4 linked regions of the Anolis sagrei genome follow. The protein of the gene in region 3 interacts with the protein of the main gene of each other region in a pairwise test. Links are inferred from orthologs where the notes say so. Each region holds a gene or a part of one and is shown on either strand. Other genes may lie near its edges.

Region 1 (7,001 bases), on a different chromosome or scaffold from region 3:
TTGTAAATATACTTTCCAATTTTATAATGGGTTCATAACTACAGACATGAACAGTTTTGCATCCAATCTGGATTTCCATTTTAATGTGTTTACTATAAAATCCTTTTTTTAAAAAAAAAAAAACTAACTACAATTTGTCTAGTTTGAATCTATGGGGTGGAGAAATATATTGAAAAATCCCATTGGAGGATTCTGGCAGAACTTCCCTCTCCCAACTATGGACTGAGTCCTGTTCCTACATTTCAATTTAGCATCCCTGCAATGCTGCCCTTAGAGACTCTTAAGCAAAATAATTTGCAATTTAGACCGATTTCTAAACTAATTCCAAACAAGTTCAGAATAATTTCTTCCCTTCTTTACTCTAGATTAAAACTCACAGCTCAGGGTGCTGAAGTTCTGCCAAATGAAGCCAGCATCCTCTGACTTTTCACGGCCAAGCAAGAACCCTTTATAGCAAAATAGCAATGGTTGACTCTGTGATGTTGAGGTGGAATGTACCATTTCACACTAGAGGTGAATGTCCTCTTATGCTTTTAGGAAAAACAACACTCTGATTTTCTGTAAATCAGAACTGGAACTACAAGCAATGGATTGGGCCTTTCTCACTGACAAAGTAGTTTGTTCATACATTTGCATAAAAGGGGTTAATTGAGAAGACTCATAAAAAAAAACAACCCCATTGCACAGCCTGAAATGGTACATCCCACTCTACAAATTGAGGATTCTGAAACAGGTTGTGTGGAAGGATTGGTTCTCCAAAATTGTTGAACTGAGCTGCAATTCCAAATATTTCTCATCATTGGCAATGGTGAGTAGAAGCTTCCAGGAATTGCAGCCCAACAACATTTGGAGATCAGCACATTGCTTACTTCTGTGTTCTACTCCATTCATAGAACAGACCAAAGTGAAATATTGCCCAGTAAGAGGTGATTTCAACTTGAAGTTAGAGTTGGAAGTTTCCTACCAATCTTACAGAAAAGTTGGAGGAGATAAGCATACATACTCTCTACCAGTGTCCCATCTTTAATTACCAACCTTTAAGATGTCCTATACTATATATCTGGTTTTGTATTGTAATTGAATATTTGTGGTACCTATTTATTTATTTATTTAATTATTTAATTATTTTATTTATTTGCTTTTGTGTTTTAAGGGAATCCCTGTGCAATTGCTTCCTCCCATGCATTTTAATATACGTGCCAGATGGAGCTTAATCACACTGGAACCCACCTTTTTCCTCCTCCAGTTATGGCAAGTGACCCCATTACTATGTGTTATGAAAATGTCAGTAGTTATTAACTGAACAAATCAGTCAGGTTGTGTATCATATGTATTTGGTTGCTACAGAACAATTAAAATTACTACCCTGACTGTGTAGGTCATATATATCTCAGTCATATTACCCACTCCAGAGTTTTGCTTGAGTAGTTGCTGAAAGGCTATTGCTTTTTCCTTAATGTTGAAAAAACTATATTTTTATAATAGAAAAACAACCAATGTTTAATACTAAGTAATGATTATGCAGAGGTGGTTGTAGTCTCTTCTCCCACTGTCCTTGGCATCTGAATTACTTGCTTACTAATAACATAACATTATTATGGTCCATGCTCTCGTGACGTCTAGGATAGACTACTGCAACACACTATATGTGGGGTTGTCTTTGAAGACTGTTCAGAAGCTTCCAATAGTCCAACAAGAGGCAGCCAGGTTAATAACTGGGATGGCATACAGGGAGCACACAACTCCCATGTTGTATCAGCTCCACTGGTTGCTACCGAGCACAATTCAAAGTGCTGGCTTTGGCCTATAAAGCCATAAACGGCCCCAGCCCAGTTTACCTGTCCAACTGCATCTCTCTCTATGAACCACTGCAGAGATTAAGATCTTCCAGGACCCAATGCTCTTGGTCTCACCACCGTCACAGGCTCTATTGGTGGGGATGAGAGAGAGGGCCTTCTCAGTGATTGCCCCTCTGCTAGCGAACTTCCTCACTGGTTAGATCAGTCTCCTTCCTCCTGTCCTTCAGAAAGATGATAAAAACTTGACTGTGGGACCAAGCCTTTGGGACAGTACAATAAGGTAACAATAGGAAACTTTACCCTGCTGATCGGATCCGGTATGGCTGATCCGAGATGGTTTAAAACAATTTATTTTAAAGTGGAGATAATTGATTTTAGTGTTTATATATATTTATAATTTATTTTATGTTCCAGCATTGAATGTTTGCCGTATATATGTTGTGCTCTGCCCTGAGTCCCCTTCGGGGTGTGAGGGGCAAAATATAAATGTTTTAAATAATAAATAAATAAACCCATAAGCACTTTTTTCACAGACAAGCCACCAGCTTTCTATTAAGCCAGCAGTATTCCTTTCAGAGTTTCTGTATTAAGCAGCTGCTTGAAATATCTGAAACTCATCTCGAGCAAGAAAAATGAGAAATATTTGCTCAATTTAATGAGCACATTTGGGCAAAGTGATGAGGCCTTATTATTATATTATGGGGTTTCCTTCTCTCTTGGGCCAATATATGTGTCTCGGATAAATGCAAATGCCATTAATCATTCGGCACTGTTGTGCTGCCCAGTTTAAGCGGTGGAAATATTTCCCGTTCATCTTCCAGCACCACATTGTCAATATGGATAATGGCTTGGAGAAAAGGTTCCTTTTTAAGGCTGTGTTTGCTTCCTGTAGACTGAGAATTAAAATGGAAGGCTGCTACTAACAATTGAAGTTCTTACCTTGCCTTTTCCGTGGCAGGTCTGGGTGAGCTCTCAGAAGTTCAGCTCTGCTGTTGCTGAAGCACAAATGAAAAGATGCCTGTTTAGTTATCAAGTACTAACATGCTGTAACATCTTCATTCGGACGGATTCACTTTGCTGCTTTGGGTTATTCCCCCCGCCCCTCACTAAAGAACAGGAAATGCTCTGAGCTGCAACACTTCAGCTTGGTTAGTTCCTCTCTTCCCCCTTTCATTCTGTCATGCTCTGATATGACAAGGGAGTGACAGGAAACCCAGAACTTTGTAAGCAGGTTAATGTTGTGGTCACTCGAACCCGCTGTAGTCGAGTGGTCGACATGTCCACCGTTATCACTGAGACTCCAGAAATATCTCTTTGCAGGCTTCACGTTATCAGCCCTGGCACCTTGAACCTCAGTATCACGCCGTGAAATTGTGGTTGGCACACTGGGACCATATTGAAGTGTGATACTTATGGGAAGAAGAACTTTCTGCCTTGAGTAGAAAATAACTTGTATTCATTTTTGAACATTGTAGCATGCATGCATGTAAACAGTTGTAACTTTGCCAGCTTTGAAGTTTGATGTCTTTAATGAGTGTGGCATCTAAGGTGCACCTACACTGCCAAATTAATGCAGTTTGACTTAACTTTGACTGCCATGGCTCAGTGCTATGGAATCTTGGGATCTGCAGTTTGGTGAGGCACCAGAACTCTTTGACAGAGAAAGCAAAATCTACAACTCCCATAAATCCACAACACTGGGCCATAGCAATCAAAATGGATCAAACTGCATTAATTTGACAGTGTCGATTATAGGAAAGGAGATTCCACTTGAACATTAGGAATAATTCCTGACTGTGAGTGCTGTTCAACAGTGAAGCTCTCTGCCTCTTGGTATTTTGGAAGCTCCTTCCTTGGAGGCTTTTAAATAGAGACTGGGTGGCCATCTGTTGCTTTCACTGCCTGGCAGGGAATTGGACTATATGGCCCATGTGGTCTTTTCCAATGCTATGATTCTATGATCCCAGATGCACCCTAAAATTCATTAGGTATTCTTACACAAGTATGTCCCAGTCCTGCCTTTGTCTCCTCTACATCTACATTAAGAGCCAGTGTGGTGAAGTGGTTTAAACCAGGACGATGAAGGTTCAAATTTTTAGTCAGATATGGATTCCCATTGTATAACCTTGGGCAAATCACAATTTCTTAGCCTGCTCTGAATTAATCTTACCAAGAAAACCCAAAGGTATACTCCACAAGGCTGAGTCTGCAAGACTAGAGCAGGTCAATTGATGATAGAATGACTTGGCAGTCTCTCATTCATAGTCACCATACATGGAAGTCCATTTGGTGACAGTTAGCAACAGCAATAAGGGCTCACCAGAAATTAGGAGAGACCTAAAGGCATAGAATAATAAAAATTGGCCTACCCCGTGTAGATAGTGCTATACACCATGTGATAGCAATAATGTGTGTGCTCTGAACATTATAGAGTGTTGTGTAAATATGTCATACTCTTGCTAAAATTATTAATGGTATCGAGGAAATTACACAGATTGGTAAAATGTATCACTATTTGTATCTGTCTGCTGAATGCACCCTGTCTAAAATGTGAGAGCCCTCATGTTCACACATTACAAAAGGGGAAGCAGGGCCCATAAATAACCTGTGGCCTGTATTTTCCTTTTTTTCTTTCCACTACTACATTTTTCTTCTTTGGAAGCATTGTTTTTTATCACAGCAATTGCTTATTTTAACATATTTGAATTAATATGATTACAATTTGAGACAACAATGAATCTTATCATACAAGTTATTTTTAAAATTTTGTGAGGACTTCACTTTTTAAATAATAATAATAAATGTTATTTGTGTGCCTTTCTATCTCTCCAAAGAGACTCGGGGGAGTTTCTGTCGTGTAAGGCAAACATGCAATTGCCGAAGGTGAACCCAGCGAAGACTGAGATTCTCTGGCATGGCCGCCCGGCAGGCCTGACTCCTCCATTACCCACCTTCGATGGTGCCGCCCTATCTCCATCGACCACTGTTAAGAGCTTAGGTGTCATCCTGGATTCACAGCTGACAATGGAAGCTCAGGTCGCTGCTGCCAGCAAACAGGCCTTTTTCCATCTACGACAAGCGAGGCAACTGGCACCCTACCTAGCTGACGAGGCTCTGACAACTGTCATCCATGCTACAGTCACGTCTAGGCTGGACTATTGCAACGCCCTGTATGTGGGCCTTCCGATGTCTACGACCCGAAAGCTTCGTATTGTTCAGAATGCGGCAGCAAGGTTACTCACAAGAACGCCCATGAAATGCCATATAACACCAGTGCTGCAACATTTACATTGGCTTCCAACTGAGTACCGTGGCCTGTATATGATGCTAGTTCTGACCTTTAAAACTCTTTACGGCCAGGGTCCATCGTACCTTAGGGACCGCCTCTCCTTCTCCCATCATCGGAGGACGCAACGACCAGCCCAACGTGACTTACTCCATATACCGCGTCCTAGAGAAGTGCACTTGGAAAGGACCAGACGCAGGGCTTTTTCTGTTTCTGCCCCTGCCTTGTGGAATTCCTTGCTGCCCTACATGAGAGAGCCATGCGTGACTTAGGGCCTTTTACTCTCGCACTTAAGACCTGGCTTTTTACTAGAGCATTCGATCTCTGTTAATTTTTAATTTTTGTATGCATGTATTTTATCTTTTATAATTTAGCTGTAAATCGCCTAGAGCATTCTCGGATGGAGGGCGATTAATAAGTTATTAAATGATGATGATGATGATGATGAAAGAAACCATACAGACAATTACATCAAAATAAACGCATTTGACAATATAACACAACCTAATAAACTTAATAACAAAATAACAACTAAAAACATCATAAAATACAAAAAAAATCTGCTAAAATACATTTAAAATAAAAATATTTAAAACCCATTTCATTATAGCTGACTCATATTTGAGTTTTGATTTATACTTTCAAATAGAAAGTTGAAAATGTTAGTTTCAGTGATCTTTAACTAGAAACTCATTATAATAAGGGATGTATTATATATAATTATATGTGTGTGCACCAGACTTCAGCTGAGTCCAGTGCATAGATATATAAATAAAGCATCCTTTATCCAGCATTCTGAAATCTGAAATCTTTGTTCAGTGTAGACAAAATTTGTTTCATGAACAAAATTATTTAAAAATATAAAATTAGCTTCAGACTATGTGTATCAGGGTGTATATGAAACATAAGGTATCTAATCATATACACATATGCAAATACAGGATTTTCAAAATCTAAATAAATTCAAAATCCAAAACGTTTTGTACCCAAGCATTTCAGATAAGGTATGTTCAATCTGTAAATGCAGTTCCCAAGTTATGCACAGGATAGGTTTTGTAGGTTTGTCCTTAAGTTGTATTTGCATGTAAGTCGGAAGAGGTACTTTTTAAAGTGAAACAAGCCAAACACATACATTTTTAAGCTTTGGAGAGCATAGGGAAGGGTTAGCACCCCTGTGGTCTTTGTTTTATTTATTTATTATTTATTTACCTTACTTATATACCCCTGTTCTCAGCCCGAAGGCGACTCACAGCGGTTCACAACAAATACGAACAGCAAAAATTCAGTGCTACACTATAAAAACAGTTAACAACCTAACACATTACACAATTAATAAACAGTTACTACATACCCATTCACTGTCATCTCGTCATCAAAAACATGTTCCAGATTCGTCATCCATTGTTCCATTCCAGTGTTCATTAACCAATCATTGCACTAATTATTCGAACGCCTGCTCAAACAGCCAGGTCTTCACTTTTTTGCGGAATACCATTAGAGATGGTGCTAGTCTAATGTCCGTAGGAAGGGCGTTCCACAGCCAAGGAGCCACCACCGAGAAGGCCCTATCTCTCGTCCCCGCCAGCCGTGCTTGAGAAGCAGGTGGGATCGAGAGCAGGGCCTCCCCGGAAGATCTCAAAGTCCTGGTAGGTTCATAGGCAGAGATGCGGTCGGATAGGTAGCTTGGGCCGGAACCGTTTAGGGCTTTAAAGGCCAACACCAGCACTTTGAATTGAGCCTGGTAGCAGATCGGTAGCCAGTGGAGTTGGCACAACAGGGGGGTTGTATGCTCCCTGCGCTCCGCTCCTGTTAAAATCATGGCTGCTGAGCGTTGGACTAGTTGGAGCTTCCGAGCTGTCTTCAAAGGCAACCCCACGTAGAGAGCGTTACAATAGTCTAAACGGGATGTAACCAGA
Region 2 (7,203 bases), on a different chromosome or scaffold from region 3:
CCCATTCCTACATGCAGGGATGGAGTAAGGAACACCTAAGGAGGAGGTGAGCACAGAATATGGCAAGATATGAACCTTGGCACCATGCTTCGAAGGGAAGGAGAACTCTAATGATGGGTTTCTGTGAGTTTTCCGGACTGTATAGCCATGTTCCGGAAGCATTCTCTCCTGGCATTTCATCGACATCTATGCCAGGCATTCTCAAAGGTTGAGGGATCTGTTGGAAACTAGGCAAGTGGGGTTTATATATCTGTAAAATGTCCAGGGTGGGGGGAAAAACTCTGGTCTGATTGAGGCAGGTGTGAATGTTGCAATTTGGCCATCTTGATTAGCATTTAATGGCCTTGCAGTTTCAAAGCCTGGCTGGTTGCTGCCTGGGGAATCCTTTGTTGGGAGATGTTAGCTGGCCCTCATTGATTCTTGTCTGGAGTTCCCCTACTTTTTGCAACATTCACACCTGCCTCAAAAAGACAAGAATTCTTTTCTCCACGCTGGACATTCTACAGATATGTAAACCACACTTGCCTAGTTTCTAAAAGACCCCTCCACCTCTGAGGATGCCTGCCATAGATGTGGGCAAAACATCAGGAGAGAATGCTTCTGGAACATGGCCATCAAACCTGGAAAACTCCCAGCAACCCAGTGATTCCAGCCATGAAAGCCTTCGACAAGGAATCATAAATCTTGGCAAGTCATAGAAGAGACTACCTGGGCCAACCAGTCCAACCCCATTCTGCCACACAATGAAAGCTCTCTGAAGAGAGGGTCATCCGGCTTAAAAAAAAAAAACCTCTAGAGGAGGAGCTTCTATCACACTACGGAGCTTCTATCACACGAGGAAGTTCTTCCAAAGGGTTAGGTAAAATATGTTTCCCTGCCTTTTAACTCCTCCACATTGTCCAGAGCAGGCATGAGCAAACTTGGGCCCTCCCTTAAGCGGCTGAGGAGAGAAAGGAAGGGGCCTGAGGCTGTTAGGAATGGTGGGAGCTGAAGTCCAAAACGCCTGGAGGGAGGGCCCAAGTTTGCCCAGGAGTGATCCAGAGGCAGCAGAGCACAAGCCGGCCCCTTCCTCACAGAGACCTCCTTTCGGGTATTTCAAACATGGAAGCAGTACGCAGCACTTCCTCCCCGCGAGGGAGGGAGGGAGAGAGGAAGACCTGGTTCGCCCAAGGCGAAGAAGGCGCAACAGCCTGGCTGGGTTTCAGCCGGGAAGGAGCTCCTCGTGGCGCCCATTTCCTCAATACACACGCATACACATTCACGGGGACCCTGTTCCCACCGAAGAAGAAGCAGTCACGAGGCGCCCCAGTTTCCCCAAAGAGGACATCCCCTCACGCCTCCGACAGGAAGGAAGGGGGGGGGGGAGACAGCATGGAAGGAGGAAAGGGAAGAGGAAGCAGCGAGGAGACTGAAGGAACCGAGGAAGGAAGGAAGAGAGGGAAAGGGAAGGGAGTCCTCCATGGAAGGAGAAAGGAGTGAATCTGACTTAAGGAAAGAGCCTCGGCAGGAAGGAAAGGAGGATGGGAGGGAGAGGCAGCATGGAGGGAGGAAAGGGAAAAGGGAAGAGGAAGCAGCGAGGAGACTGAAGGAACCGAGGAAGAGAGGGAGGGAGGAAGAGAGGGAAAGGAGGAAAGGGAAGGGAGTCCTCCATGGAAGGAGAAAGGCGAAAGGAGTGAGTCTGACTTAAGGAAAGAGCCTACGAAGGTAGGAAGAGGCAGCATGGAGGGAGGAAAGGGAAGAGGAAGCAGCAAGGAGACTGAAGGAACCAAGGAAGAGAGGAAAAGGAGGAAAGGGAGTCATCCATGGAAGGAGAAAGGCGAAGGAGTGAGGAGTCTGAGGTAAAGGAAAGAGCCTCGGCAGGAAGGAAGGAAAGCCGGAAGGAAGAAGGGAGGCAGCATGGAGGGAGGAAAGGGCAAAGGAAGCAGCCAGCAGACTGAAGGAACTGAGGAAGGAAGGGGTGAGGAGCCTGAGGTAAACGAAAGAGCCTCGAAAGGAAGGATAACAGGAAGGAAGGAGGCAACATAGAAGAAGGAAAGAGAAAAGGAAGCAGCGGGGAGCCTGAAGGAGCCAAGGAAGGAAGTGAGGAAAGGGAGTCTTCCATGGAAGGAGAAAGAGGAAGGAGCGAGGAGCCTGAGGTAAACGAAAGAGCCTCGGAAGGAAGGAATGCAAAAAGGAAGGAAGGAAGGAAGGAAGGAGGCAGCATGGAAGGAAGGGAAGAGGAAGCAGCGAGGAGACTGAGGAAGCCAAGGAAGAGAGGAAGGAAAGAAGAAAAGGGAAGGAAATCCTCCATGAAAGGCGAAAGAGGAAGAGGCAAGGAGCCTGAGAGCCTCGGCAGGAAGGAAGGGGGGAAAGGACGGAAGGAAGGAGGCAGCATGGAAGGAGAAAAGAAATAAGAGAGGAAAAGGAGGAAAGGGAAGGAAATCCTCCATGAAAGGCGAAAGAGGCGAGGAGCCTGAGGTACTTGAAAGAGCCTTGGCAGGAAGGAAGGAAGGAAAAAAGGAAGGAGGCAGGATGGAAAGAGGAAATGGAAGAAGCAGCAGCGAGGAGACTGAGGAAGCCGAGGAAGGAAGGAAAGAAGAGAGAGAGGAAGGAAGGAAGGAAGAGAGGAAAGGGAAGGGAGTCCTCCATGACAGGAGAAAGGCGAAGGAGGGAGAGGGAGAGGAATGGGCGAGGAGCCTGAGGGAAAAGAAGGAGCCTCGGCAGGAAGGAAGGCAGGCAGGCAGGCAAACGGGGGAGCCGTGAGGAGAAGGTCCAGCGAGGCTTCTCCCCGGCTGAGGGCGAAGGGAAGCCGCGCCCCCCCCCCCCTCCTGCTCCTCACCTTCCTTCCTCCGCCGGCGAGGGCGGCGCTGCCCCCGGAGTACATGTAGTAGGCGATGCCGAGCACCCAGAGGAAGGCGAAGCAGAGCAGCAGCCGAGACTTGCGCCGCATCCTCCCGCCCGCCCAGTGCTGCAGCCGCGGCACCAGCCGCCGCCAGGCCAGCAGGAAAGGGGCGGCAGGCGATGCCGCTGCCGCCTCCACCGCCCGCCCTCCTGCCCGCCTTCCTCCTCCCCCTCCGCCGCCGCCGCACAAGGGTCAAGGGGCAGAGGGCGCGCGCCCACCCTCTGGCCAATCGCCGGCCGCCAAGCGCCGCGCGGGGCGGAGCTCAGCCGCGCCGTCGCCATGGTTGCAGCACGCGGGGCCTCCTGGGGTCCCTCTTCCTTTCATGCCTCTCGGTCCTTTAGCGCCGCTTCAACCACAGCTAGGCCTCTTCCGAGAGCTGGGAGCCCGGGTGGCAGCCGAGGCCGGCGCCCTGCCTTCCAGCCTCAGGGGACTTCCAGCCTCAGGGGCCTACCTTCCCAGGCTTCCCGTCCCATAGAACCCTCTCCGCGGGACATGAGATGTCGTTCCCGTACGAGCCTGGCCTTCCCCCGGGGAGAAGCTCCGCAGAAGGGACTTGCCTCGAAGTAAAGGCGTGTGGAGCGGGAGGTTGGAAGGCCTCTCCTTTCTTCATGCCAGGCGTGGGAAAGGTATGTCTCACTGGAGGAGGAAGAGCTGGCGTTCAGGCTGCACTTTCGGCAGCTCTAGTCCTGTAGAGTTTTGTTTTTTGATGTATTTCATTATTAGAGTGGATTTCAAAAGACTTTTACATACCTCAGTCAGCAAGTGGAGTGGTGATAAAATAGGAAATAATAATAATAATAATAATAATAATAACAAACATTTGATTTTGCAGTAACTTATTTAAGCATAGTTATTATCAAACATCTCACTTCTGCCCTCATCACACTAGAGAAAAAATCAACTTAAAATCCAGTTTCTACCTCCTGCAGAATTCTGGGGTTTGTAGTTTAATAGTTTAAGGAGCTGGGCATGTTTTGCCTGCAGAAGAGAAGGCTGAGAAAAGATATTATAGCCATGTATAAATATGTGAGAGGAAGCCACAGGGAGGAGGGAGCAAGCTTGTTTTCTGCTTCCTTGGAGACTAGGATGCGGAACAATGGCTTCAAACTACAAGAGAGGAGATTCCATCTGAACATGAGGAAGAACTTCCTGACTGTGAGAGCTGTTCAGCAGTGGAACTCTCTGCCCCGGAGTGTGGCGGAGGCTCCTTCTTTCCAGGCGTTTAAAGGGAGGCTGGATGGCCATCTGTCGGGTGCTTTGAATGCAATGTTCCTCCTTCTTGGCTGAGAGAAGATATTATAGTTGGACTGGATGGCCCATGAGGTCTCTTCCAACTCTTTGATTCTATGATTCTATGAGTCGCCTTCGGGCTGAGAGTGGCGGTTAACAAATGCAAATAATAATAATAATAAAATAATGCTGTTAAAGGCTCCTCTCTAAACTACAAACGCCAGAATTCTGCAGGAGGTAGAAACTGGATTTGAAGTGGATTTTTTCTCTAGTGTGATATAGTGTTACCTACCTCACACACATACCTCACACACAGTCACCTACGGATGTGAGAGCTGGACCATAGGGAAGGCTGAGTGAAGGAAGATGCTTTTGAACTGTGGTGCTAGAGGAAAGTTCTGAGAGTGTCTTGGACAGCGAGAAGATCCAACCAGTCCATACTTCAAGAAATAAAGCCTGACTTCTCGTTGGAGGGAAGAATACTAGAGGCCGAGATGAAGTACTGTGGCCACATCATGAGAAGAAAGGAAAGCTTAGAAAAGACAATTATGCTGGGGAAAAGGAAGAGGGAGTGACCAAGGGCAAGATGGATGGATGGTATCCTTGAAGTGACTGGATTGACCTTGAAGGAGCTGGGGGTGGTGACGGCTGACAGGGAGCTCTAGCGTGGTCCATGAAGTCACGAAGTCAGAAACGAATGAACAACAACAACTTCACACACTGCAAAAGCAACAGGGATTCCTTCCCTTACGCCAGTGGTTCTCAACCTATGGGTCCCCAGATGTTTTGGCCTTCAACTCCCAGAAATCCTAACAGCTGGTAAACTGGCTGGGATTTCTAGGAGTTAGGTTCTTGTGGGTTTTTTCGGGCTATAGAGCCATGTTCTAGAGGCATTTCTCCTGACGTTTCGCCTGCATCTATGGCAAGCATCCTCAGAGGTTGTGAGGTCTGTTGGAAGTAGGAAAAATGGGTTTATATATCTGTGGAATGGCTGGGGTGGGGCAAGGAGCTCTTCCCTGCTGCAGTTAGGTGTGAATGTTTAGCTGATCACCTTCATTAGCATTTGAAGGCCTGCCTGAGCCTGGGAAAATCTGTTGCTGGGAGGTGTTAATCTGTGCCTGGTTTTTTCCTCTCTGTTGTTTAGCTGTTATAATTTTAGAGTTTTTTAATACTGGTAGCCAGATTTTGTTCATTTTCATGGTCTCTTCCTTTCTGTTGAAATTGTCCACATGCTTGTGGATTTCAATGGCTTCTCTGTGTAGTCTGACATGGTGGTTGTTGGTGTGGTCCAGCATTTCTGTGTTCTCAAATAATATGCTGTGTCCAGGCTGGTTCATCAGGTGCTCTGCTATGGCTGACTTCTCTGGTTGAAGGAGTCTGCAGTGCCTTTCATGTTCCTTGATGCGTGTCTGGGCGCTGCGTTTGGTGGTCCCTATGTAGACTTGTCCACAGCTGCATGGTATACGGTAGACTCCTGCAGAGGTGAGAGGATCCCTCTTGTCCTTTGCTGAACGTAGCATTTGTTGGATTTTCTTGGTGGGTTTGTAGATTGTTTGTATGTTGTGTTTCCTCATCAGCTTCCCTATGGAAGTTGGAACTTCCCTAGGAGTTGTAGGCCAAAACACCTGGGGACCCACAGATTGAGAACCACTGCCTTACACCATAAATAAATAATAGCTCTTCCCTCCAAAACAGCGAGTAAAGCTTAGAAAATGTTCTGGTTTTAAAAAAAATAATAATTACAATTTGCACAATCTAGCAACCAGCATGCTCAAATGACCACACTGGCTTTCCAAACTTGGTTGGACAGGTGGAATTTTTCAAAGCTTTGGCAGTGAATTAACATCATGAAAATGGTGTGTAGTATGATTTCTTAAAAGTTTTCTGGCATGATTTTCCCATATACACTTCTCTGCAAATCTGTGGGTATAAAAAGACTGTATAATAAAAGTAAAACTAGCTGGCCAAGTTTGGTCTACAAACCTCAATAGGCATATGTAGGCTAGTTATTTGATTTGCATTTTGTTGCTACTTTATGTCAATTCTGTATCTGTGTTTGATGCAAGTTTTTAAAAATATTTTTGTGTTTTAATCGAAGTATTTATTGTACATATTATATGTTCATATGTTTTTGACTTTGTTGTACTGTACCCTGCCTCAAACCATCAAGAGAAGCAGGTAATAAATAAAATTATTATTATTATTATTATGTCATTGCCCCGTGTTTCTGGTTTTTTAATTAACTTACATATCAATTTTAAACTACCAAGTATACACATTTACCCAAAAATTATAAAATAATAACAACAATAATGACACACACAACAATATAAACAAACCCCACCTTTCCCTACATCTATGTTCAACTAGATCAGTGGTTCCCAACCTGTTTTGACTTTATCCAGCCTTAGCCCAACAAAATCTCCCAAGGACTCTCCAACTGAAGATGTTTAATTCAACAAACCCAAGTTCACATAATGCTGGCATTTTCACCATACCTGTGCAAAATAACCCCATTGCCTTCCCAGTTTGCTGAGCTCCATGGAGTCTGGAGAACATTTCTTCCTTCTCTTGGATAATATTTTACAAAATGGCTCCTTAATTTTGTTGTCATGTTTAAGGTAACTCAGCATCCACATTTAATGCAGTTTAATAATTCTGAAATAAACAATAGACTTGGTCCTTTTTCATGTTTTAATCCACTCCTGTCTTGCACTCCAAAAAATAAACTAACAACACATATCCATTCCACACTATATATATTCACTCCCCCTCTCTCCCTATCTAATCTTTTCTTTTCTTTTTTTACCAGACACGACTTGAACAGGGACCACTTTGACCAGGGACTACACTCCAACATTTTGGAGTTTTTGATCAACTTTTCATTCAGTTTGGTTATTTGGGATGCTGATTCAGAAAATTGCATTGGATAGACCACATCAGCTCTAGTTTCTGATACAGAGCATATGCTGTCTAGTAGTCCCTATCTGCTCACCCACAGAAAACCCTATTTAATAATCTAGAGCTGATGTGGTAGTAGTAACCTTTTGTGGGTAGTCAGCCTCTCCTCCTGATATCCTTGTTTTCCAGTT
Region 3 (7,563 bases):
AAAGCAGCTCAGATGATAATTTATCTTTTAAAACAAGATTCTAGTTCTTTGTTTCAAGAAAAAAAAGGCTGCTGAACAATCTGAAACCTGAAGGACTGGAGATAGGAAACAGAAGTCTGTTCTTAAATGTCTTTTTTAAAAGCAATACATTGTGTCCCATGTCCTCCCAGTTTTATCCTGATTATTACTTTTTTCTGTGTATACTTCAATTAAAATCCATCTATGTCATTTCAAATTCTTCCTTTTAGAAGAGCTGCTTCCCAATCCCTTTTTGACAAAGAGGTTTCTTGGATGACACATTTTACTTCCTCACTAGAAGCAGCAATAGGAAAGATTACCAGGCCAATTAGATTTGACACAGATGACCAAGACGGTTTTAAATGGTGTATTTTAATCTTGCGATAAATGTTTTTAATGTTTATGCATGCGTATATGAATTCTTGAATGTTTGCCGTATATATGCTGTGCTCCGCCCTGAGTTCCCTTTGGGGTGAGAAGGGTGGAATATAAATGTTTTAAATAAATAAATAAACTAGGCAAGAGTAGTGCTGCTCCTTGAAGCCACACTTTTCCCTCCATAAAGCATACAACAGGTAAGCAACAAAAGGTTTCCTCATTCCAGTCAGGGAGACACATTCCAAAACAAGCTGTTAACCAAAAAGAAACATTCTACTTGGAGCCCTATCACATCACACTATTAGCATTATTATTCCACTTTACCTGCCATTAAAATATTCTGTGGCTTGTAGTTTAATGAGGGCCAAGAGTTTTTTTGTCGGAGAATTCTAAATGCTCCTACCTAAAGTGGAAAACCCAGGATCGTATATGATATTACCATGGCAGTTAAAGTGTGATAGGGTCCTGAGACTGAAAGAGGAATTCCCTTGCAATAAAAAGAGAACAGAGAGTCAATCCTATTTTGAAGTAACTAGGTTGAATATCCTCTTGCTTGGTAATTTCCATTATGTATGGCAATTGCTGTATTTTGTTTGTAATTCCAAGTCAATAAAAACAATAAAAAATTGAGAAAAGACACGTCTTTCTCCTACAATTTTTCCCCAGTAAAGTAACATTGGATTTGCTGACTGTTTCCAGCTACTACTGAAATGGTTTGTACCTGTTTGTTCAGAATCACAGGCCTTGAATGTGCATTTCAGAACATTTTCTTCAGAGCAGTGGTCTGCATTCAGGATGTTTTTGTTGCTAACACCAGAGTTGTCCCATGGTACTGCTAAGAAACACATAAATTAGTTTTTTTCCTCTAAGCCTGGATAATCTGCAAACCATTATACCCACAAAGATCTAAAATAAGCTCACTTGACTAAAAAGACATAATGACTTGCCATTTGTCCACATTACAGCCCATTTCTCTGTACTCAAAATCCAATATTAGGCCTTTTCTTCATCTCTCCCATTCATAATTCCCCACTGTCCATTCTTTTTACTGAAATGGTATGTCTCATATCTACTCAAAGTGCTTGCATCTCAAATAGGGTTTCTTCATTCAAACAAAAATTGCTGAGCAACTTAATGGCTTAAAAGCCAGATGAGTATGTATGAAGCAGCATGTACAGTAACTCTATTTTTCTCTCTCTCTCAGAATACCCTAATTTGTCATAAAACCAAATGTGAAGAGCGGATAAAGCATCCAACTGAAAAGTATTTGATGTACAATTTGCATGACTCACACTCCACAGAACTAGATGAAGAACTGCACCAATGCAACATTACAATAATTTCTACTAGGGATTGAGTTACAAACTAAATTGGAAATCATAGTAAAGTAGATCAGTGACATCAGACCAATGACTGCCACACAGGTGTCGCCTATTTTGTGGCACAGAACTGAACTAAAATGGAGAATGACTGAAACTAGAGAAAGCATTTGTATTCATATTAGAGATATTACAGTGGCAGGCAAGTGGCAGGCAAAAACCTGGAACCTCAAGCCATGGCTGATACCGAATGAGACTCCTCCCGGCACACAGAAGACTAGGCGACTTGGAAGATTCTTAACAGACTGCGCTCTGGCACCACGAGATGCAGAGCCAACCTTAAGAAATGGGGCCACAAAGTGGAGTCCACCACATGTGAGTGTGGAGAAGGGCAAACCACAGAACACCCATTACAATGCAGCCTGAGCCTTGCAACATACACAATGGAGGACCTTCTTATAGTAACTCCAGAGGCACTCCAAGTGGCCAGCTACTGGTCAAAGGACATTTAATAGAATGGCAAATTTTTAAACTTTGTGGTTTTAAATACATTACAACTATACCCTTCATTTGCTTCTGATACGATAAATAAAAAAGAGATATTACAACAATAAAAAGCAAGCTTTATCTAGAGTTGGACAAGAACTGGAAAGAACACTCAGCCCCAAGGTTTTTCATTGACCAGCCCACAAAGGCCCACAATCTATGTATTTGTTATTCATTTATATGTCAACCTAAGCGCTCGCTCCCTCTTATACACACACACACATTGGTAATAAAGCACTTTGCATACTAGCCCAAGTTTGTAAAATAATCATTTGGGATTTTGGGTCAAAACAAGGGAGAGTAAGTGTGTTGCATGCCAGTCTACTGTGCCATGATCTCTCTGTAGCTCTAGAAATCAGGTACGCTTGGAACATATAGGGGGAAAAACAATATTTAGATAATCTAAACATTGATTTGAGAAATGTGGTTCAGACTTGCATCCATTTTTACTGGAGTCACTATGAATGGCCTGAGTTAATGTCGTTTAGGGTAAGTGGCACAAACATCAAAATTAGGAAACAACAGCAGCCCATAGCTTTGAAACCAAAACTGTACTGTTAAATAGGAATTACTTTTTTTCAAATTAACGTGGATGACAGGATGGTTCTAAGATCCAACACCAATAAAATAATAAACAATTACAAGATTGAATTTTTCAGGAACAACTAATATTTACCTTCTGTTGATAAGACTGCAGTTAACTGTGCTACTGCTGCATTTTCAAAAGACTTGTGGTAAATAATATCCTCCATCACCAGATAAGTGCCTTTTCAGTCAGAGCTTTATTTATTCCACAGAAATATTCTTTTCCTTCAAAAAAAGAAAGAATGTGTTTTATTTAAGCGCAGCCAGCAAACCAGGAACTTGGTTCCAGCCTTCACAAAACAAGAGACTTTTCGGGAGAATTGTTTGCCAGGTTTTGAAAGTACCGTAATAAAACACCTGGTTGAATTACCTCAAAAATATAGGTATGACAATGCCATCAGTTCAAAAATCTGTACACTAAATTGCTTAAAGCTGTCCCTGGATTGAAACACTATACTCTTATTTATGCAAACCAATGAGATTTTGGCCTGCATAAATAGGAGTATAGTGCCTAGATCTAGGGAAGTCTTGCTACCCCTCTATTTTGCCTTGGTCAGACCACACCTGGAATACTGTGTCCAATTCTGGGCACCACAATTGAAGGGAGATGTTGACAAGCTGGAATGTGTCCAGAGGAAGGCAACTAAAAGGATCAGAATGTTGAGTATAAGCCCTATGAGGAACGGCTTAAAGAACTGGGCATGATTAGCCTGCAGATGGGAAGGCTGAGAGGAGACATGATGGCCATGTATAAATATGTGAGGGGAAGTCATAGGGAGGAGGGAGAAAGCTTGTTTTCTGCTGCCCTGGAGACTAGGATGCAGAACAATGGCTTCAAACTACAGGAAAGGAGATTCCACCTGAACATTAGGAAGAACTTCCTGACTGTGAGAGCTGTTCAGAAGTGGAACTCTCTGCCCCCGGAGTGTGGTGGAGGCTCCTTCTTTGGAGGCTTTTAAACAGAGTCAAGTGACTGGCTTGACTCTGAAAGAGATGGGGGTAGTGACAGTCAACAAGGAGCTCTGGTGTGGGCTGGTCCATTAGGTCACAAAGAGTCAGAAGCGACTGAACGAATAAACTACAAACAGAGGCTGGATGGCCATCTGTCGGAGGTGCTTTGAATGCAATTTTCCTGCTTCTTGGCAAGAGGTTGGACTGGATGGCCCACGAGGTCTCTTCCAGAGGTAGTGAGGATGCTTGCCACAGATGCAGGCAAAACGTCAGGAGAGAATGCCTCTAGACCATGGCCATATAGCCCGAAAAAACCTACAACAACCCAGTGATTCCGGCCATGAAAGCCTTCAACAATACATCGTTACTAAACTGTACCCTTAACGGAAAGTATATAATTAAAGAGAAAGATGAACCCTCAAAAGACTAAGTCAACAATCAATTTTTTAAAAAAAATTCTGCTGTTGGTTGAATTTTTCGATAGTTTTTTTATTACTATTATTTTATTATTATTATTATTATTATATGATTTTTTTCTCCTTCTTTCTCTTTTTTGCCCTACTTTCCTATAGCATTATTATTCCTCCACTTTACATGCATAGAAAAAAAAATATCCCTCTACTTTCCCTCCCTTTCTAACCTTAATAAAATAGATTTTTAAAAAAAGAAGACTTCAATCCCCTTTTCAGCATTTCACTTCCCCTCAAAATAAATGACATAGGTAAAGGTTGTCCCCTGACATTAAGTCCAGTCATGTCTGACTCTGGGGTGTGGTGCTCATCTCCATTTCTAAGCCGAAGAGCCCGCGTTGTCCATAGACACCTCCAAGGTCAGGTGGCCAGCATGACATATTGCCAGATAAAGGCTTCAAAAACCTCAATTATGCCTGCCTGTGATATAGTCACTTCAGAGAGTGTTTGAAACAGGCATGGGCAAACTTTGGCCTTCCTCCAGGTGTTTTGGACTTCAACTCCCACAATACCTAACAGCCTACCGGCTGTTAGGTATTGTGGGAGTTGAAGTCCAAAACACCTGGAGGAAGGCCGAAGTTTGCCCGTGCCTGACGAAGGCAGAGTTCCCATTAAAATGGGCCCCTTCCCCATGCCTTTCAACCTTCTTCAAGGAGCCATCTTGTTACTCCTTGCGCAACTGAGGGGAGGCCAAGCTATATTTCAAAGGCAACCCCTGAAAATTATTTCTTCCCTCACTGAAATCTCCTCAGCCATTAAACAAACAAACAAAACAGCCTCTTCGACCAAAAGCAAAGTGGACTGAAAAGCCCTTCCACCTTTTGAGGGGAATTCAGAGTGAAAATGCCTCCTTCCCTGACTAAACTGAGAGGGCCTTGCTGAGGGAAGAAGGAGACACTCCTAAAAGGGCGGGAAGAATAAGGCCCCTTCTACACTGCCATGTAAAAACCAGATTATCTGTTTTGAACGGGATTATATGGCAGTGTAGACTCATATAATCAAGTTCAAACAGATTATATAGATTATATGTAGGTTATATGGCAGTATAGAATTTATTATTTATTTATTTCGAGTTTTTATATACCGACCCTCTCACCTTCAAAGAGGGATTCGGACCGGTTCACAACATGTGTTAACATACAAAAAATATACAATAACAACACAATGCCACTTAATTACATGATTAAAATATCAGCACCATACACATTAAAACATTATCATCCCAGTTAAAAGAGCCAAATCGTCTGACACCATCACAATCCCATTCATCATCCTCCTTTCATGTGGGCAAAGAATTAAATCAGTTGTCAAATGCCGTGTTCCACAACCAGGTCTTTGTTAGTTTCTTGAATGTCATGAGGGAGGGGGCAGTTCTGATCTCTAATGGCAGGGAGTTCCAAAGTCAAGGGGCCACCACCGAGAAGGCCCTGTCCCTCGTCGCCACCAGCCGTGCTTGTGCAGGCGGAGGGACCGAGAGCAGAGCCCCTCCGGATGATCTTAGTGGTCTTGATGGTTCGTAGGGGAGAATACGTTCAGAGAGGTAAACAGGGCCGGAGTCGTTTAGGGCTTTATAGGTTAACACCAGCACTTTGAATTGTGCTCGGAAGCTAATCGGCAGCCAGTGGAGTTCGAGTAACAGCGGAGTGGTGTGCTCCCTGTACCCCGCACCCGTTAGTAATCTGGCTGCTGCGCATTGTACTTGCTGCAGCTTCCGGGCAGTCTTCAGAGGCAACCCCACGTAGAGAGCGTTGCAGTAATCTAAGCAGGATGTAACCAAAGCGTGTACTACCGTGGCCAAGTCATATTGGAAAGGGCCCCAGTCTCTAAATGCTACAAGATCCCTATGCATAAGCTCTCATAATGTTTTCTCCATCATCTAGACATTTTGCTGCCTAATTTTTTGTTTATGTAATTTATATTAACTGTTTTGTATTGATTGTTTTTGTTATTGCCTTTGTTTGCTGATGTACTGTGGGCTTGGCCTCATGTAAGCCGCACCGAGTCCCTTGGGGAGATGGTAGCGGGGGTATAAATATATTATTATTATTATTATTATTATTATTATTATTATTATTATTATTATTATGCAAGGCTATCCATGGCAATCTCCCCCTAGTCTTTTTGCCTGGTTTATGCCTTTAAATACCATATTTCTGCTCCCTTTCTTCTTGGTCATGCTACATCTACATTATACCTTTTTTTTCAAAATTAGCACAAGTTTTTATTGGAAAAGAGTCTGTGAAACATGATCCACAACTATGAAAATGGACAAAATATGGCTACCAGTATTTAAAAATATCTAAAATGAGGACAGTAAATAAAGAGCAATGTTCAAAAAACAGGGAAATTCCAGACACGTAACACATCCCAACAAAAGATTTCCTCAGTCAGAAAGCAGCCAGGCTTTGAAGCTGCAAGGCCATTCAGTGCTAATCAAGGTGGCCAGTTGCAATATTCACACTTGCCTCAAACAGACAAGAGTTCAATGTATTGTCGAAGGCTTTCATGGCTGGGATCACTGGGTTGTTGTAGGTTTTTCCAGGTTATATGGCCAGCATTTTCTACAGGCATTTTCTCCTGACGTTTCGCCTGCATCTATGGCAAGCATTCTCAGAGGTAGTGGGCTAAGCTTCACTACTTCTGAGGATGCTTGCCATAGATGCAGGCGAAACATCAGGAGAAAATGCCTCTAGAACAGGTGTCCTCAAACTTTTTAAGCAGAGGGCCAAGTCACAGTCCCTCAAACTGTTGGAGGGCCGGACTATAATTTGAAAAAAACATGAATGAATTCCTATGCACACTGCACATATCTTATTTGTAGTGCAAAAGACACTTAAAAACAATACAATAATTAAAATGAAGAACAATTTCAACAAATATAACATTATTAGTATTTCAATGGGAGGTGTGGGCCTGCTTTTTGGCTGATGAGATAGGATTGTTGATGTTGTTGTGTGCTTTCAAGTCATTTCAGACTTAGGTTGACCCTGAGCGAGGGTCGGGTAAATGACCTTGGAGGGCCGCATTCGGCCCCCGGGCCGTAGTTTGAGGACCCCTGCTCTAGAACATGGCCATATAACCCGGAAAAACCTACAACAACCCAGGCAAGAGTTCTTTCTCCCACCCTGGACATTATTCCACAGATATATATAAACCCCACTTGTCTAGTTTCCAACAAACCTCACAACCTCCAAGGATGCCTGCCATAGATGTGGGTGAAACGTCAGGAGAGAATGCTTCTAGAACATGGACATACAGCCCGGAAAACTTATAGCAACCCAAGGATCCACCTCTAT
Region 4 (7,400 bases), on a different chromosome or scaffold from region 3:
ATGGGTTGAAACTGCAGAGGAAAAATCCATGTCCATTAGGAAGAACTTCCTGGTGGTAAGAGCCATTTCACAGTGCAATGTGCTGCCTTAGAATCACCTTTACCGGAGGTTTTTAAGCAAATGCTGGATGGCCCAGTTTACCTGTCCGAACGTATCTCCCACTATGATCCACCTCGGGCCCTAAGATCATCTGGGGAGACCCTGCTCATTGTCCCCCCATTGTCACAATCGCGTCTGGCGGGGACAAGGGACAGGGCGTTTTCTGTGGTGCCCCCCTGGCTGTGGAACTCCCTCCCAAATGAAATTAGATCTGTTGCATCCCTCTTGATCTTCCGGAAACAAGTAAAATCCTGGCTATGGGCCTTTGGAGAATACGCTGACCTACTGATGTGTTGACTGATTTAGAACCGATGGACTGCCCTTGGATAATGATTTAAATCAGTGACTGCTGAGTATTTGTTGTCTCTTTTCATATTGTTTTTATATTGTTTATACGGTTTTATATTGTTATTATTACATTACTGTTAATTGTATATTTATGTTTTGATGTGGGCACCATGGGGTGCCACTTTGTTAACCATCCTGAGTCCCTCTGCAGAGGTTGAGAAAGGACAAGATATAAAAGCCCCTGGATGGCGAGGCGCAACACCCGTCATCATTGGTCAAGAGACTGGGAGTCCTTTTGGACCGTCTGCTGACGATGGAGGCCCAGGTCTCTGCTGTTAGCAGAACCGCCTTCTTTCACCTGCGGCAGGCTAGACGGCTGGCCCCCTCCCTGTCCAGGGACGACCTAGCTATGGTGATCCAGGCCACTGTCATCTCAAGACTGGACTACTGTAACACCCTCTACATTGGTCTTCCTCTGTCGGTGATCCGGAAACTCAAGTTGGTACAAAATGCAGCTGCTCGGCTTCTTGCGGGAATTCCGATGAGATGTCACATAACACCAATCTTACTGCAGCTGCATTGGTTACCAATTGAGCACCGGATCACTTTCAAAGTGATGGTACTCACCTTTAAGGCCTTGCATGGTCTGGGGCCGATGTATCTGAGGGACCGCCTCACCCCCTACCAACCCCAGAGATCCCTCCGTTCTGAGGACCAAGATCTATTGGAAATTCCCAGTGTCAAGACCTTGCGTCTAACAGCAACCAGACGCAGAGCCTTCACAGCAGTGGCCCCATCACTCTGGAATACTCTGCCACCTGAAGTCCGTGCCTTGCGGGACTTACCAGCTTTCCGCAGGGCATGTAAGACATACCTGTTTCGACAGGCTTTTAATGTTTGATATTGTTGTTTTTAAATTGTTTTTAAATTGCTTTTAAATTTTGTTAGATTTTAGCTATTCTTGTAAGCCGCTCCGAGCCCCAGGGGAGTGGCGGCATATGTTCAAATAATAAATAAATAAATAAATTTTGGTCATCTGTTGGAGGGCTTTGACTGGACACCCCTGCCTGGATGGCCCTTGAGGTCCCTTCAACCTCTAGGCCTATGAGGTTGAATGGTTATCTATTAGGAAGCATCTGATAGTGTAGACACCATTAAATCCCTCCTGACAGATAACCCTTCTGCCAGAGAAGCCTGGCAGAAAAGGGTGGGATTAGATAGCCCCTGGATTCCCTTACAACGCTCTCTACGTGGGGTTGCTTCTGAAGACTGCTCGGAAGCTTCAAATGGTCCAACGATCAGCAGCCAGGTTGCTAACAGGAGCATACCACTCCTCTGTTGCGCAAGCTCCACTGGCTGCCAATTTGCTACCGGGCACAATTCAAAGTGCTGGCTTTAGCCTTTAAAGCCCTAAACGGTTCTGGCCCGACCTACCTGTCCGAACGCATCTCCTCCTATGAACCAGTTAGGACATTAAGATCGTCTGGGGAGGCCCTGCTCTCGATCCCGCCGGCCTCACAAGCACGCCTGGCGGGGACGAGAGACAGGGCCTTCTCCGTGGTGGCCCACTCGGCTGTGGAACGCCCTTCCTGCAGGTATTAGATTGGCCCCTTCCTTGCTGGCATTCCTTGTTGGAAAGTAAAGACCTGGATGTTTGAACAGGCATTTGACTAAGCAGTGTGATTGATTAACTGATTATTGGAACATGGAATAACGGACAATGGGTTTTGGATTCTGATTTCACCGACTAGACCAGATGGATTTGTTATATTGATGTATTGATGTTTTGATGCCTATGTTAATGATGTTAATGACTTGTGATGCTTCTGTATTTTAAATGCATAAAGATTTTGTATCCTGTATACCTAAACTGTTGTAAACCGCTCTGAGTCGCCCAAGGGCTGAGAAGAGTGGTATACAAATAAAGTAAATAAATAAATAAATAAATACAACTCCCAATATTCTACAATTTTAAGCACAATGTCAGTACATGTTTAACTCTTTCTCTGTCCCCTTCTTTCCTTTGGAATTTTTAAACAGTCTGTTGGGAGGGCTTGGATGGTGATGCCTGGCAGAAGCAGGTTGGGATCCCGTCCAATTCTAGGATTCTGTGACACCATGTGGTTCTGTGTCAGGAGGGATTGAATGGGGAGAAGAGGGTTGGCTTTCATGGCCTCTGGGCTGCCTTCAGATTCTAGGGTTCTGTGATTTTTGGCCCCACACGTTCAGCTCCCCCTTTTCTGGATTTTTTGGAACAGAGGCTGGATTGGAGGGCCATCTGTCAGGAGGCTTTGAAGGTGCCTTCTTGCCTGGCAGAAGGGGCTCGGGCTAGGTGGCTTTGGGGGCCCCTTCCCACTCTAGGAACCCATCTGTGGGGCACCATCCGTAGGGGAAAGCGGCCTCCAGAGAGAGAGGCCTACCTCGCAAGGAGAGGCCTCGCCGAGAAGCGCCTCCCCGCTCTCCCTCCCTCCCGCCCGCGACTCACCGGCCCCACAGGCCCAAATCCCACCGAGACGCCGCCGGACTCCCGAGCCTCCGACACCGGCCGCCTTCCCCCGGAACCGAAAGGCCAAACAAGCGGACGTCACTGCCACGTACTCCCTCAGGCTGCCGCGTCACACGCACGACGTCGAGAGTCCCCGCCCCACTGCATACGTCACGCCACTCGCCTCATTAGACCCAAAAAACGGGAGGAAGTTGCCTGGCAACAAGGAGGAAGCGGAAGGGAAGGATCCTGCGGGGGGATGTAAACAAGCCTCGCTTGGGAAGAGATTTCCGGTTGCCAAGGGTTTCTGGAATCGAGCCTCAAACTCAGGCGGAAGGCCTCAGTGCGCCAGGCAGGAAGACACCGCCAGAGCCCCCCTGACAGCTTCAGATTAAAAATCTACAGAGACCCCATCATCACCATTTTATTATCCACTAGCCGTCTCCTGCCAGGCGTTGCTGTGGCCCAGTCTGGTGATCATGAGGGTTCTGTGTGGGAGGTTTGGCCCAATTCTATTGTTGGTAGAATTCAGAATGCTCTGTGATTGTAGGTGAACTATAAATCCCAGCAACTACAACTCCCAAATGTCAAGATGCTACTTTCCCCAAACTCCACCAGTGTTCGCATCTGGGCATATTGAGTAATCGTGCCGAGTTTGGTCCAGATCCATCCAGGCATTCTTTCAAAGGAAACATGCTATCCTTAGCTGAAGCTGATTTAGAAGGCATGAAGAAATATTTGGGTGTAATCAGCATACCTGTAACACTGCATCCATACCTACAGATCCCTCCCAGTGGCTGCTATGAGGATAGAATGGCACCTTGTGGGACACCACGTAACAGCTCCCTTTTCAAGGAGCAGCTATTCCCAAGTGCCACCATCCAGAATCCAGAACCAATGTCTCCAATTCCCAGCCTTCCCCATAGGCATTCCAGAAAGGTTTCCCCAATACCACGGTACTGAAGGCCGCTGAGCAGTCTAGAAGCACCAACAGGGACACACTCCCGTTGGTGTTGAGATGGAGATCCAGTACAACAATAGCAGTCTCAACTCTGTATCCTGCTCTGAAGCTGGTTTGAAATGAGTCGAGGAAGTGTGTAGCATCCAAGACCGCCTGGAGTTGGAAGGCAACTGCCTTCTCAATCACCTTGCCCAAAAAAGAAACGTTGGACACTAGTCTGTAGTTATCAAGGTCCAAGGTGATTCATGCCATATGCCAGCAAATATGGAAAACACAAGAATGGCCATCAGATTGGAAAAATCAACTTATATCCCCATACCAAAAAAGGGAAACGCTATAAGATGCTCAAACTTTTGTACAGTGGCGTTTATTTCACATGCCAGTAAGGTAATGCTCAAGATTCTGCAAGGTAGACTCCAGCAATACATGGAGAGGGAGTTGCCAGATGTAATCTGATCTTGCCATTAGTCAATCTGATCTCTTTCTTCGATAGAGCTACAAGCTGGGTAGATGCGGGGAATGCCGTGGATGTAGCGTACCTGGATTTCAGTACGGCCTTCGACAAGGTCCCTCATGACCTTCTGGCAAGGAAACTAGTCCAATGTGGGCTAGGCAAAACTACGGTGAGGTGGATCTGTAATTGGTTAAGTGGACGAACACAGAGAGTGCTCACTAATGCTTCCTCTTCATCTGGAAAGAAGTGACAAGTGGAGTGCCGCAGGGTTCCGTCCTGGGCCCGGTCCTGTTCAACATCTTTATTAATGACTTAGATGAAGGGCTAGAAGGCATGATCATCAAGTTTGCAGACGACACCAAATTGGGAGGGATAACCAATAGTCCAGAGGACAGGAGCAGAATTCAAAACGATCTTGACAGATTAGAGAGATGGGCCAAAACTAAGTTCAAAACTGTTGAAGTTCAACAGTGACAAATGCAAGATACTCCACTTTGGCAAAAAAAATGAAATGCAAAGATACAGAATGGGGGACGCCTGGCTCGAGAGCAGTACGTGTGAAAAAGATCTTGGAGTCCTCGTGGACAACAAGTTAAACATGACCCAACAATGTGATGTGGCGGCAAAAAACGCCAATGGGATTTTGGCCTGCATCAATAGGAGCATAGTGTCTAGATCTAAGGAAGTAATGCTACCCCTCTATTCTGCTTTGGTTAGACCACATCTGGAATATTGTGTCCAATTCTGGGCACCACAATTCAAGAGAGATATTGACAAGCTGGAATGTGTCCAGAGGAGGGCGACTAAAATGATCAAGGGTCTGGAGAACAAGCCCTATGAGGAGCGGCTTAGGGAACTGGGCATGTTTAGCCTGAAGAAGAGAAGGCTGAGAGGAGATATGATAGCCATGTATAAATATGTGAAAGGAAGCCACAGAGAGGAGGGAGCAAGTTTGTTTTCTGCTTCCTTGGAGACTAGGACGCGGAACAATGGCTTCAAACTACAAGAGAGGAGATTCCATCTGAACATTAGGAAGAACTTCCTGACTGGGAGAGCCGTTCAGCAGTGGAACTCTCTGCCCCGGAGTGTGGTGGAGGCTCCTTCTTTGGAAGCTTTTAAGCAGAGGCTGGATGGCCATTTGTCAGGGGTGATTTGAATGCAATATTCCTGCTTCTTGGCAGGGGGTTGGACTGGATGGCCCATGAGGTCTCTTCCAACTCTTTGATTCTATGATTCTATGTACGAGAGACCAAATTGCCAATATCCACTGGATAATGGAGGAAGGCAGGGAGTTTGAGATAAACATCTATTTCTGTTTTACTGATGATTCTAAAGTCTTTAACTGTGTGGATCATAATAAATTGTGGCAAGTTCTTGGTGGTCTGGGCATACCAAGTCACCTTGTCTCTCTCCTGAGGAATCTGTATAAGGACCAAGTAGCAACAGTAAGAACAGAACACAGAACAACAGATTGGTTCAAGATTGGGAAAGGCGTACGGCAGGGCTGTCTACTCTCACCCTCCCTATTCAACTTGTATGCAGAACACATCATGCGACGTGTGGGACTTGACGAACCCAGGCTGGAGTTAAAATGGCTGGAAGAAACATTGATAACCTTAGATATGCAGATGATACCACTTTGATGGCTGAAAGCAAGAAGCAGCTGAGGAGCCTTATAACCAAGGTGAAAGAAGAAAGTGCAAATGCTGGGTTGCAGTTAAACATAAAAAAAACCAAGATGATGGCAACCGGACTGATGGATAACTGGCAAATAGAGGGAGAAAACATAGAGGCAGTGACAGACTTTGTATGTGTAGATATGAAGATGACTGCAGATGTGGACTGCAGACAGGAAATCAGAAGACGTTTCCTTCTTGGGAGGAGAGCAAGGACCAATCTCGATGAAATAGTGAAGAGTTGAGACATCACACGGGCAACAAAGATCTGCCTAGTTAAAGCAATGATATTCCCCATAGTAAGCTATGGATGCAAGAGCTGGACTGTAAGGAAGGCTGAGCAAAGGAAGAGAGATGCTTTTTGAGCTGTGGTGTTCGAGAAAAATTCTGAGAGTGCCTTGGACCGCGAGAAGATCGTATCAGTGTAATGTCTATATATTGTACAAGTTTAAAATGTCCATGCTGCTAGCTGTGAGAGTTAAGTTATGAAGCATGTGTGGGACAGACAAGCTTCATAATAGACTAGGAGGCTGGACACTGAATTAATGAGCTGATAGCAGTGTATAAATAGAGCAGACACCATTTTATTATTTCTCTGCTCTTCTCCCTTGCATCTGACTGTGCTAACGAGTAAGTGTTACTGCAATTAATGAAATGTAAATAAAGAGCCACTATTCATTCATTCATTCATTTATTTGCTTTATTTCTACCCCGCCTTTCTCATCCGAAGGGACTCCAGGCAGCTTACAATTCCAGCAAAATTCACTGTCGGTAAAAAACAGTACTAACAATAAAAATTAAACAGTTAGCAATAATAAAATATATCAATAAACATTAAACAGTAAGCAACAATAAAATGTATCAATTTACAAATTTAAAAAGCACATAAAGTGCATAGTTCCATAACCCTGCTCATAATCCTTAATCCAGATCATGTCAAAACCATAGAAACGTATTCTTTGAATGGTTGTGCGCACAGCCAACTCTTCAGCTTTTTCCTAAAACCCAGAAGGGATGGGACATGTCTGATGTTGCTGGGGAGAGAGTTACACAGCCGAGGGGCCACCATGGAGAAGGCCTGTCTCTCGTCCCCACCAGTCGTGATTGCAAAGAAGGTGGGACCGAGAGCAGAAGATCTTAAAATTCTAATACGCTCATAAGAGGAGAAGCATTTGGACAGATAAGTTGAACCAGAACCGTTTAGGGCTTTATAGGCCAAGACCAGCACTTTAAATTGGGCTCTGTAGCATATCAGCAGCCAGTGGAGCTGACTGCTGAGGAGTTGTATGTTCCCTGTACACCGCTCCCGTTAGAAGTCTGACCCCTGCCCGTTGGACTAGCTGAAGCTTCCAGGGCGTCTTTAAAGGCAACCCCACATAGAGTGCATTGCAGTAATCTAAGTGGGATGTAAAAAGAGCATGGACCACTGTAGCCAAG

Evidence for each region.
Region 1: the proteins of KASH5 (region 3) and TRAF3IP3 interact in binary tests that used the Homo sapiens proteins (3 or more experiments, as listed by UniProt). The two-hybrid records come from large-scale screens. The link is inferred for Anolis sagrei from reciprocal best matches to the Homo sapiens genes KASH5 and TRAF3IP3.
Region 2: the proteins of KASH5 (region 3) and GALNT2 interact in binary tests that used the Homo sapiens proteins (3 or more experiments, as listed by UniProt). The two-hybrid records come from large-scale screens. The link is inferred for Anolis sagrei from reciprocal best matches to the Homo sapiens genes KASH5 and GALNT2.
Region 4: the proteins of KASH5 (region 3) and STX5 interact in binary tests that used the Homo sapiens proteins (3 or more experiments, as listed by UniProt). The two-hybrid records come from large-scale screens. The link is inferred for Anolis sagrei from reciprocal best matches to the Homo sapiens genes KASH5 and STX5.

The regions. Positions count from the first base shown.
Region 1 is NC_090024.1:198,918,974-198,925,974, forward strand, and holds the start of TRAF3IP3 (TRAF3-interacting JNK-activating modulator), read right to left. Parts: upstream 3,016-7,001; 5' UTR 2,739-3,015; intron 2,021-2,738; 5' UTR 1,839-2,020; intron 1-1,838. UniProt on the Homo sapiens protein: Adapter protein that plays essential roles in both innate and adaptive immunity. Plays a crucial role in the regulation of thymocyte development.
Region 2 is NC_090021.1:61,526,351-61,533,553, reverse strand, and holds the start of GALNT2 (polypeptide N-acetylgalactosaminyltransferase 2), read right to left. Parts: upstream 3,019-7,203; 5' UTR 2,930-3,018; coding exon 2,819-2,929; intron 1-2,818. UniProt on the Homo sapiens protein: Catalyzes the initial reaction in O-linked oligosaccharide biosynthesis, the transfer of an N-acetyl-D-galactosamine residue to a serine or threonine residue on the protein receptor.
Region 3 is NC_090026.1:22,017,417-22,024,979, forward strand, and holds the start of KASH5 (protein KASH5), read right to left. Parts: upstream 3,014-7,563; coding exon 2,938-3,013; intron 1,232-2,937; coding exon 1,118-1,231; intron 1-1,117. UniProt on the Homo sapiens protein: As a component of the LINC (LInker of Nucleoskeleton and Cytoskeleton) complex, involved in the connection between the nuclear lamina and the cytoskeleton.
Region 4 is NC_090032.1:12,412,186-12,419,585, forward strand, and holds the start of STX5 (syntaxin-5), read right to left. Parts: upstream 3,007-7,400; 5' UTR 2,873-3,006; intron 1-2,872. UniProt on the Homo sapiens protein: Mediates endoplasmic reticulum to Golgi transport.